2 linked regions of the Rattus norvegicus genome follow. The main gene of each other region encodes a partner of the protein of the gene in region 2 in a complex. Links are inferred from orthologs where the notes say so. Each region holds a gene or a part of one and is shown on either strand. Other genes may lie near its edges.

Evidence for each region. The genes of interacting proteins can lie anywhere in the genome.
Region 1: the proteins of Smurf1 (region 2) and Smad1 are in contact, whole or in part, in an NMR structure (PDB 2LB1), measured with the Homo sapiens proteins. The link is inferred for Rattus norvegicus from reciprocal best matches to the Homo sapiens genes SMURF1 and SMAD1. Residues at the interface, in NP_065162.1 of Homo sapiens: Glu313, Val314, Arg315, Ser316, Arg321, Tyr323, Val325, Asp326, His327, Arg330, Thr331, Thr332, Gln333, Phe334; in NP_001003688.1 of Homo sapiens: Asp221, Thr222, Pro223, Pro224, Pro225, Ala226, Tyr227, Leu228, Pro229, Pro230, Glu231, Asp232.

What each region holds. Positions count from the first base shown.
Region 1 is NC_086037.1:45,414,937-45,421,000, reverse strand, and holds the start of Smad1 (mothers against decapentaplegic homolog 1), read right to left. Parts: upstream 3,460-6,064; 5' UTR 3,303-3,459; intron 3,117-3,302; exon of another isoform or gene 2,746-3,116; intron 1-2,745. UniProt on the Homo sapiens protein: Transcriptional modulator that plays a role in various cellular processes, including embryonic development, cell differentiation, and tissue homeostasis.
Region 2 is NC_086030.1:14,827,839-14,833,148, reverse strand, and holds part of Smurf1 (E3 ubiquitin-protein ligase SMURF1), read right to left. Parts: intron 2,525-5,310; coding exon 2,410-2,524; intron 1,056-2,409; coding exon 877-1,055; intron 42-876; coding exon 1-41. UniProt on the Homo sapiens protein: E3 ubiquitin-protein ligase that acts as a negative regulator of BMP signaling pathway. Mediates ubiquitination and degradation of SMAD1 and SMAD5, 2 receptor-regulated SMADs specific for the BMP pathway.

The sequences.
Region 1 (6,064 bases), on a different chromosome or scaffold from region 2:
ATCAGTAAGATGGGGACAACACTTTTCTGGGAAGTCCCAGGGCGTAAATAAGTTACAACCACCACACACTTTTAAAAAGTCAGAAGGAGACAGAAAACTACAATTTCCATCTACCTAGTGCTCTAAATCATGGTCAGAAACGGCAAACAGGATCTACTGAAAAGCCAACTTCACATTAACCTCTGTCTTCAGCCATCATTCCAGACTGAATTTGTTGTTATTGTTGTTCAGATGATTGGTTGGTTGGTTGGTTTTGGTTGAGTGGTTGGTTAGTTGGGTGGGTGGTTGTTTGGTTGGTTGGATTTTGAGACAGGGTTTCTCTGTGTAGGCCTGGCTGCCAAACTGCCTTTCTGGGGGAAAAAAAAGGATTTGTACAGAGGAAGGTCACCTCTCTAGATCCTAGTGTCTAGAACTTTCTATGGGGATAAAAACTGTCCCACGTACATTCCCTTCAGCATGGTAGTGACATATGACTACTTGAAATGAGGGTGGTGCAGGCGACACTGTATCTTAAATGATGACTGAGCAGCACAGACAAGGCTGCTTCTACCTTATTAGACAGTGAGCATTGGGCTACACTGAAGACGCTCTATAAGAACTTAGGCAAAAGCGAGGGCCTTTCTTTTCTGCCTGAGTCGCTGCTGTGTTTTCAGTGGAGGCCTGATGACTATGACCCGTTACGGCAATACCCTCACACACTTATCAGCACAGTGCAAGCTCAGAGCTAACAAATGATCAGAAACGAGGAAGCAATCCATCCTCTGATATCTCAGAGGATCCAGAAGGCCGTGTTGAATCCACACAGATACAAAGATGGGCACTGCAAAGGTCCCCATTGCCGCCCCAGAGCATCAAATGAAAAGCTACGCCTTTAACAAGATGCAGCCCTCCCCACCCCAGAAATCACAGTTCAGAACACATTCCCCTCTTTCAGAAACACGGGGGTTCTTCACCGTCTCCCCTTTCTACCGTAAACAAAATCCATGTACCACCCATATCTGGAGGATAACGCCAGACTCCAGCTTAGCTGCCCCTATAATGTGGTTTAATTATGATGACTGAACTAATAGGCTGACATCATAGACTTTTACAGGCTGACCCCATGTCATTCTGATGTATCATTTTGCACCAGTTCAGTGCTGTAAATCAATTTAAGATCTCGAGCAGGTTGGAAAGGCTCTCTCTGCCTCTCTGGAGACTCTGCATTACACACAACTTACATTATTTATAAAGTCTCGGCGATGCCTCCATTAGCCTTGTAAGACCACACAAATGAGATCTTTTATACACACACACAACTCGGCCTTGATTATGGAGGCTTCTGCTGCTTAAATACGCTCATCTAATTACATCCGAGTTTATTCTTCCTCCAATCTACCACATTACTGCATTTTTATCTTGAGCCCAGAATAGCTGGAAATCAAGATTAGAAACCGAAATTTAGTTTTTAACTAGTATGTGTAGCTGGGGACCAAGATTTACTTCCTCTTAATGCTCATGTGAACTTACCAGAAAAGGAATGGAAATTCCAAGATGAACAAGAGTTTAGCATTTTTAATTGCCCCCCCCCCAAAAACAACCCTGTCACTCCTCCAAAATGTAAAGACCACCATCTCTCCAAGGGTATAAAACTAGAGGACACTGCAAAAGTAAGAGTGTATTTGGTTACTACTTATGGTTGCAAGGGTCAAAACTAAATCAAGGACAAATCCCTATCCTCTGAAGAAACCTGATCATTCTCGGGAGCCTCTGACATCCCCACCCCCAGAAAACCCATCTCTCAAGACCCTGGTTTACAGTTTCCTAAGAAAAGCAGACTTACACAAATGGAGCACCACCTTCACAGAAATATCGTATAACTGAAAATTAGAAAAGCAGAGGCGGGGAGGGCGCACCCGAAAGTCCGCACAGCCTGTTTAGGCCTGCAACCTCCATCACAGTACCGCCGCCGGTGTGAAACATCCACACCAATTGAAAACACCACTGCCTCTGCCTCGACTCTGTGAACTGTTCCAGCACAGCTCATCAGCTTCCGGTACAGCGTGAAGTGGTAATTATAAACAAGATGAAAAATGAACCTGGTCAGGGAACAGTTTTCTCATTGTGCTGAGGTGTGGGCACATTATCCACCACAGGCCCTTAGAGCGAGAGATGCTGGAAAGAGCGTGCTGTGATTTTGCTCCAGCAACAGGAAGACATTACATAAACCAAGCAACTCCTTTCAGTCCGGGCTTTGAAAACTTCAGATGTCACCCAAGAACCCTAGAGAGGGGGAAGAAAGAGGCCAGGGTTGACAACATGCACTCTACTACGATTTTCTCTTAGATGGCTGTGGCATGGGCTAGGATTTTCAGATGGAAAGCTCTTAGCTGGATTATTTTGTGCCGTGCATTTTAGAAAAACTGCATGTGCCTCCGAATAAACAAAAGCCGCGACTACCACAGTGTCTGGATGTGGCCGGCCATGGTCCCTCCTGGCTCCCCAAAGCACCTCGGGGAGACGCTGCCCCCGCAGCCTTCACACGCAGTCCGCAACGCGGCTGCAGAGGCCCGCGCTCTCACGCCCACCACCCCCACCCCGCGACAGAAACACTAACAAAGACAGTCTGGACGAGAGCAGTTGTTCCCGGCGCTCGGAACGCTGCAGTGAGGCAATCGAATCCGGTAAAGGGAAAGGAATGAGGCGACACTGGGCGACGCAGGGGGTGTAGGCGGAGGGGGGGGGGGGGACGCGAGGCGGCCAGACCTTTGAATAAATCAGAGGGAACTCCGCCGCGAACTTTCCTTAACCTCGATCCCCAAATCAGGCAGTGTGGGGACCCCACAGGGGCGCGCGCGTCCATCCAGGGAGACCCGAGCTGAGCGCAGCGCTGTCCCCGCGAGGGTCTGCAGGCCGGGGCGGGGACACAATGGGGCTGCGGCCCGATGCGGAACGGGGGTCCCCGGAGAGCTGGACACGCCCGACAAAGACGCGGGGAGACGGGAGAAGAGGTCTGGCGGCAGGTTCGCGGCTGCGAGACGCCATCATGGGGGGTGGGGGGGGACTGTGTCCCGGAGCTCGTCCCAGATTCCCTTCAGCGCGGGTCCCCGAGTCCTCCCGGATCCTCCCCGGAGCACGTCCCAGATTGACCCCGGAGCCCGCCCCTAATGCCCTCGGAGCCCGTCCCCGATCTTCCCCGAAGCCCACCCGGGATGCCCCACGGAGCCGGCCCTGGATCCCCTGGAGCTGGTCCTTGTCCCGGTGCGCCCCGCGCGGCACAGGACAAGTCCCTCTCGAGTCGGCTCGGGTACGCTCGGCTTTACCGGCTCGGCGGCGCGCCCATCGGCGGGGACGCACGAGACCCGGCGCCGGGTCCCGCGCTCCGATCCGTTCCCAGTCACCGTCCCAGCGCTTCGCTTAGCTCTCGGCCGCCGTCCCCGCGCCTCGGCCCTGGCCTCGCCTTGGTGCGCCCGCTCGCTCCCCGAGCCTGGATTGATCTGGTCGCGCTGGCGTCAGGCAGTCGGAACCGCCCAGCCTCCACAGCCCGCCTGCCAATACCCGGCGCACAACCCGCCCGCCGCTCGCCCTCGCTCACACGCGCACCGCGCGCGCCCGCTGCTGCTTAGGGATCCTCTCCAAATTCCCGGCCCGCGCCTGCCTCTGACTCTGTAGTCCCTGCCTAGCTGCCAGTCAAGTTCCAAAGCCTGTGTTATTTTCTGAAATGTTCTCAAACACGACCATCAAACCCACCCAATCGTCCTAAAAACCCATTTTAATGGCCCTGCAATCACTGACCCAGTGATTTACCGGCCCTCCATGTGGCCTGAGCCCCAAACTGGGTGACCTGTTAACTGCTAGGTAAATGCATTTATTTCTAGTATGTACCCTTGCTGCGGCAAATGACAAAAGCCATTTGTATGTTTGATACATGGTCTCTTGTAGCCCAGGATGACCCCGAACTCACTTTGAAGGGGAAAAGACCTTGAACTTCTCTTCCTCCAGCCTCCACATCGTGAGATCTGGGATTATAGATCTACACATATTTTTATTTATAAGATTCTGGGAATCGAACCTGGCCTTGTGCATCCTGGGCAGGAAGGAACTTTACAACTGAGCTTCACCACCTAGCCCTTTTGTTCACTTGCTTGCTTGCCGGCTTGGAACGGGATCTCTCCCTTTAGCCCAGGCTGGCCTTGAATTGGGAAATACCCTTTTAGTACTATAAATTTTTGGTGTAAATTTTTAGATGACAGGGTCTTGCCCCTGTTTCCACCCCCACCCCCCAAACAAAAACCCCACAAAACAAAAATACACAAACACAAAGGAGCTCACATCTTACTGATCTGTTCAGACACCAAAAACACCCTCTTGAAACAATCAACTTTTTTTTTGGTCAGTTTCTGGAAGTTGGCATGAAATCTTGGACACTTATCATAATGTTGAGTTATGTTCAGAGAAGAACTATTCTAGGAGTAAATGCCCCACAAACCAAAAGAAGAAAAAAATCATTACCAGCAATATAAAGAAATACCAAAGGCCACTACAAATTAATGACACTCTCCAATTATTCCTGTACCTTTACATGCCTGGCATTCCACTTAAAATTCTTATTAATTATTTAAGTATTATATCTGTATTCCATATTTAATTATTCAAAGGAAATGCAACAAATCCCATAAACCCATAAAATGCCATTTATAAATTATACATAAGAATATTTCTGCTAATTAAATTCCTTTCTTCATTAAACTATTTGAGCACTTACTGGTCAATTTTTGGACCTCATCTTATTTTCCTTAAAAGCAGCATTTGACATAGTTGGTTGCTCTCTGGTCCCTTGGGCAACAGCTGGAGAGAGCTTGACTAAAGGCCACTCAGGGTCATTCCCCTCCCGTCCACAGACCCTCTGCTGACAGAGTGGGGTATATCCATACACGGGAGCATTATTCAACCATGGAAAAGGAAAGGAGCACTTCCTCTGTCTCCCAGGGCCCAATGAGAGCCTCGGTTCCACCCTTCGCATGGAATAACCGGGTGGGATAGTGCTCACCTGTAATTCAGAAGTTCAAGATCATCCTTGGCTTTATAATAACTTCAAGGCCACCGTGGCCACTGTGACCAACAAAATAAAACAATCAAATAACAGGCCCTCTGCCGAATTAATAAATAAAGACCCCATATAATCTGCTTCCTTCATGCAAGATGTTCGTAATAGACAAAGCCATAGGAAGAGAATAGGAAATTAGAGTGTGGGGTGCAGGATTGAAAGCCTGGGAGGGTCATGAAAGATATAAGCATGGTAAAAGATCTCAAAAATAAGGTTAATAATAAATCTGGTAGTTACACAACTGTGTGAATACAGCAAAAAACATATGAGTGTATATTTTGAATAGCTACATTCTACAATTGTGAATTTTATCCAAATATAGCTTTTTTTTTAATGCAGACAGCTAAAGGCGGTACATGGTTCTTATTTAAATCCTGAAAGGAAGGCTGAAGAGATGTCTTAGGAGTTAAGAGCACTGACTGTTCTTTCAGAGGACCTGAGTTCAACTCCCAGCAACCACATGGCAGTTCACAACCATAACTCCAGTTCCTGGGGATCCAACACCCTCTTCTGGCCTCTGGGGCACCAGGCCAGGCACACCAGGAAAGGCCTTGTTGAAACATGCATGATATAAGTGAAGACATGGGATGGGAACATGGAGATACATGCCAGTCAAGCCATATACATATAATAAATATAAACAAAAAATCCTAGAGAGATATGCAGTGGTACTATGTAACTGTTCACTGAAGTAATTTGTAACACTAGAGATGGCCTTTCCTAGTCTATTTCTACTGTCCCTGAATGATAATTACTAATACTATGCCCATTAAAAAAATTTATTTTACTTGTGCAAGTTGTTTCTTTAAGTGGCAATAAAAATTTGGATACTCTTTTAAAAGGGGCATTTTTGAGACAGTTGTAAATTGTGATTAACCTCATTGTTAAAGTAATTATATTTGTTAAAAAACAAAACAACAAAAAAACAACCGGATTCCCACTTCATTCCCAATAGTGATCTTACCACAGGTAGAGGCC
Region 2 (5,310 bases):
CGCAGAAGGTGTGATCCAGCACTGGCGTGATGTCATTCTCTCTGCAGGCACAGGGGAAGGCTGGTTAGGCCTATGCCAGGGAGCCCTGGCGGCTGGACCGCTGACAGGCACAGTCTAAGTTCTGCCCCTCACTTTATGGTTACCACTCTGGGGGGGGGGGGCATCACTCAGCTATCCTATGACGGACACCACGGGACGGGAACCTAATTGCTCTAGGAGCTGAGGCCTGTGAAGAGGGAGCTCAGTCAAAAGGACACAGCCAGGACAATAAGGCTTCTCCCCTCTGAAGGCACTGGAAATGTCAGGCTGACTCTCTATCTGCCCTACTTCTTGATAACTGTTTCCCCACAGGGAAGCCTCCACTTCCTACAGCCCTGTACCATGGAGCAGGCGAGGCCAAGGAGGAACACCCCACCCCAGCCAGACTCCATATAGCAGCCTCCCCAACTAGTCAGGGGCTGGGTCTTCTACAGGAACACATCAGAGCCATACTTTACCCCGTTCCTGCTGCCCTGGCAAGCATTTGGTTAACTCTACAACGAGGTAACTAAACATGAATTTTTGTCTTGAAACTTTCTCTTAACTTCTACAGGTCACCTGAGAAATTTTAGGGGTGCATGATCTCCATCCACCCCACCCCCACGAAACCAGGCAAGTTACTGGCATTTGTAATCAAACCTAATAACAAGCCAAACCAGCTTATGAAAAGAATACAATCAATTAAATGATGACATGTTTTGTTAATTTGTAATTGCAACCCAATGTTGGATGTTGTTATAGTTAATTCTGTTACTCTCTTTAGTTTCACACCTGTTCCCCCAAAAGAATGCACACCCAACAGCATCCTGAGCTGTGGGAAAGGATGGTGACACTTACAGAATCCACACCAAGCTCTTGTGAAGTTCTGGGTCCACTGACTCCAGATCCGACAGCTGGATGGGTTTTCCCAGGAGCTGCTTGTAGAAAGGAACTGTGAAGCCCCCGTTTATGTAGTGTCCATGGAACACAGCCAGACCCATGATGCGACCCACAAAGTGGAAGTAAGACAGATGGTCCTATAGGGGGCGCCAGAGAACGGCAGGCGGACATTAGGAAGATGACGAGTAGGCGAGGATACCCACTTCCCACAGGCTTCCTGTGACTCTACACCCAACAGGACATATACTCAGCTGCCCATCCCTCACCTACCCACGGCCAGACAGGAAGGCTGCCACTGAGTTCCAGCTTCACTCACTCCTAACACAAGTGGGACTGGTACTTCACAATCCTTCTGCCTCAGCCTTCAGAGTACTGGGATGACAACTGCACCAGCACACACGCCCTGGCCTAACACTGAGAACTTAGTTAGCGTGCAGGGGCCTGGTACAAAGTAAACATGCGGAGCCCTCGACAGTTAGGAAGGCTGTGCTTCTTCCTCCTCAGCTGGAGGGGCTCTGGAGTTTAAGCACTCATAGCTCGTGTGTTTCTGAAAACGTGTCAGGATTTAGTTTCCAGGCTGGGTAAAGGTTTATTCACTGTGTGGATGTGCATGTGTGGTGAATGTGAAGATCACCTTCATCCCCCAGTTGCTGCCCAGTGCTGCCAGGATCTTTCACTGAACCTGGATCTCACAGATTAGGCTGGCCAGCCAGTGCGCTCCAGGAGTCACCCAGGTCCACTTCCCCAGCGCATGTACAACCATGTCTGGCGTCTGTGTTTTTGTTGTTTGTTTGGTGTTTGAAAACAGGGTCTTTCTACATAGCCCCAACTATTCTTGATCTCACTACAGCTGGCCTCCAACTCAGAGTTAGCTCTTAGGCCTGCTTCTGCTTCCTGAGAGCTGGAATTAAAATATGTAACCCCGTGCCCAGTCACATATGGCTTTCTATGTGGATTCTGCAGTGAATTCGCAGTCTCACGTCAGTCTTTACGCTTGTGTGGCTGAACCACTTTCCCAACCACAGTTCATTTGTATTTTAATTCTCTAGTAGAGATAGTCCCTCATTTCAACTCTGTGGCCTTGTGACCTCCAGGGTGTAGGAGGTCCCTTAGATGTGTCCCTGTGCCTACCGCATGTGGAATGCTCACAGCTGTGGCCCAAGAGAGCTAATTATGAAACTTTTCCAATTTTGATCAGCGAATTGACTTGGTAACCTAGCTCTTAAGATGACATCCAAAAGACCACCATCTCCCACTATACCAGAGTCCCCTCAAAGGGTAAAGGACTCAGGCACAGAGCAGCTCAGACCCACAGTCCTCCCCTGCAGGTTCCAGATCTAAACCTGACTAGAGTCTGGTCCAGTCAGTCAGTACTCCCCGCCTTTGCCCTGAGCTCTCCCCAGCATTTTCTCTAAGTCACCCATAACTAGGGGACCCAGGTTTGCCTTAGAACTACAGCTGGATTTCTCAACTCCTCATGGTAATACTCACAGGGTTGATAGAAGAATCTGGGTTGATTTGCAGTGTGTAAATATTGTCCGTGGAATACTGGAAGAGTCCATAATACGGATTCAACATTTCATGGCACAACAAATACAGCCACTCCCTGGAACAATAATAACACGCTCACATGTGCTAACGGCATCATTTTCTGACTGCTTTAAAGATGTGTGTGAATGAATGCCATGTGCATGCAGTACCCAAGCAGGCCAGAAGAGGGCATCAGATGCCTGGAGCGGAAGTTATAAGAGGTTGTGAAGTGCCTTGTGGATGCTGGGGAATCAAGGTCAGGTCCTTTGAAAGAGCAGGAAGTGCTCTCAACTGCCAACCACCATTCCAGTTCCAGCTTGCTTATTGATTGATTAATTGATTGATTGATTTTTCAAAATAGGCATTCTCTGTGTAGTCCTGAGTGTGTATTGGAATTCCCTCTGTAGACCAGGCTGGTCTTGAACTCAGAGGTCTGCCTCCCTCTGTCCCCCAAGAGCTGGGATTAAAAGTGTGAGCCACCACTGCCAGTTGGGAGTTTCTAAGCATTCTATAATAAGAGTTTGGTAGGTGAACATTTCAAGCTCTAGGGAGACATAGAGAATTTATGAACAACTATGCCCTTCTAATTTCCTGTTGAATTCTGACTTTAGACCCTAAGCACAGAACACTTTCCTTTTCTACATTTTCTGTGTGACTGTGTGAGACTGTGTATGTGACTGTGTGTGTATGTGTGTGTGTGTGTGTGTGTGTGTGTGTGCGCGCATGAAGAGCAGAGGTTGCCTCACTGTCTTCCTCAATCGCTCTGCTGATTTTTGGAGGCGGGCTGGCCAGCGAGCCCCAAGGATCCTCCTGCCTCACCTCCCAGCTCTAAGGCTTGAACTTGGGTCCTCATGCTTTCAGAGCAAGCACTTTCCAGACAGAGCCAATGCCTCAGGCCACTCACACTGTGCAATATAAAGAAAACTTAGATGAATGCAAAAACATCACAGAGGTTTTAGAAGTCTGGCAGGTATGCACTGGGTAACTAAGTTTCTAAATTCCTTTAATGTTTAAATCACTTTATCTTAAAAAAGAAAAAACAAACCTAAAATCAGCCAAACACAATAACCACTTCCACTGGAAACCAAACTGGGGTTGGGGGCCCTGCTGCGGGGTGGGCTCAGTCTTGAAGACACTGGGCCACAGCGCCTTCAAAAGACTGAGCTCCAGAGCACAGCTTAGATTTCAGTGTGGATCCCGACTCTTCAAACAGAAAGGAGGCAGGTTTGAGGAGGGCAGCACAGACCAAAACCATCTGTACAGGAAAGGGATGGAAACACACAAAAGATACAGATATGTCAGACCAAACCGGCTCGAGGCTCCCCATCTGTACTTCTGTCGAGCACCCTTTAAGGACCAGGGACCTCCTTGGTGGGTCTAACAGAAGTGTGCTCCCTGCTGCCTGTGTGATTCTCTGCTCGCTTCCTTTGTCAGGTAAGAGTGTAAGAGAATGGGGGCTGGGAGCGCACACATGCACCTGCACCCACACGGAGGTCACTGTGGGTCCCCAGATCTGGTGACTACTGAGTAAATGCAGTCCCTACACAACACACAGGTGGGAGGCTCTACAGTGAGAAGACTTAATTATGCTTTAGATGTATCTAAGTCTTCATTTTATACTTGGATCACAATGGAATTCAATAAATTAGTATGTTACACAGTAACTTAGACTACTATCCTGCTGTAAGCACTGGGAGACGAGGTGAGGAAACCGTGCGAGAAGCGGAGAAGGAAGGAGATGGGAATAAGGGAGAAGACTCAGACAGGAGGAGGGCTATAGGCTCAGAGACTCCTGTGCACAGAGCTATATCCAAAGGTGAGAGAGAGCTTGGCATCAGAGCCATTCTAGAACTGGGAATCTGGCCATGAACTAAACCAAGTTCCTCATCACGGATAGCTGCTGTCAGGGGCACAGAAAGAAGAAAACTTATACCAAACAGCTGTCCTACAAGGGAGAAACCAGGAAAGAGGAGGCTGGGATGACAGTGTTTAGGGTCTGCTCCCAAAGGAGAGGAAGCTGACGCTGACCCCAGGCTGGACCACCATACAGACCAGGTCTCTAAGGACTGCTGCAAAAGGCCATCCTGAGGCATCTTCAAGTTCATGGGGGCAAGAAAGACAAAGTGAGGCATGGTGGTTCATACCTTTAATTCCAGTACTCAAGAGGCTGAGGCAGGAGGATTACTCATTCCAGACCAGTCTATGCTATGTAATGAATTCTGGCACAGGGAAATGAGAAAGAAGAATAGGCAGGAAATAGGAAAAAATAGAACACAGAGACAGATTAAATTCTAAAGCATTAAATGTTACTCTGTAATTCACAAGTAGAGGGGCTGGAGAGATGGCTCAGTGGTGAGAGCACTTGTTACTCTTGCAGGCTACCTGGGTTTGATTCCTGCGCCCCCTTGCAGCTCGCAACCACCCGTGACTGCAGTCTCAGGGGAATCCAATGCCTTCTTCTGGCCCCTGTGGGCACTGCATGCCACAGTGCATAGACACACATCAGTCAAAACACCCACATATAAAGAGAAGTAAATTTTTAAAGAGTTCCAGAGGAGCTTGAGTGGCAGACATGAGAACTGAAGAGAGCCCAATATAAGAGCAGAGGATTAGTTCTCCCCTCCTCCTGCTCAGAGACCCTGTCTGTGACCAGGTCCCTAAGTCAGGAGGTAGCAGCCTGAACTTGGGCGCCTGGGTGATACCAGAAGCCTCTTAGAACAAACGCCAACTGTGAAGAAGCCTCGTCTCTAAAGTGATAAGAATTGGGCAGGAAAGAGGCTTCTTCTCGCTGTTCTTAGATTGACTTGACCGGTTCCAACCAGAATGGCAGCACCTTGTAAGGTCCCCTGGATACCACAGCAC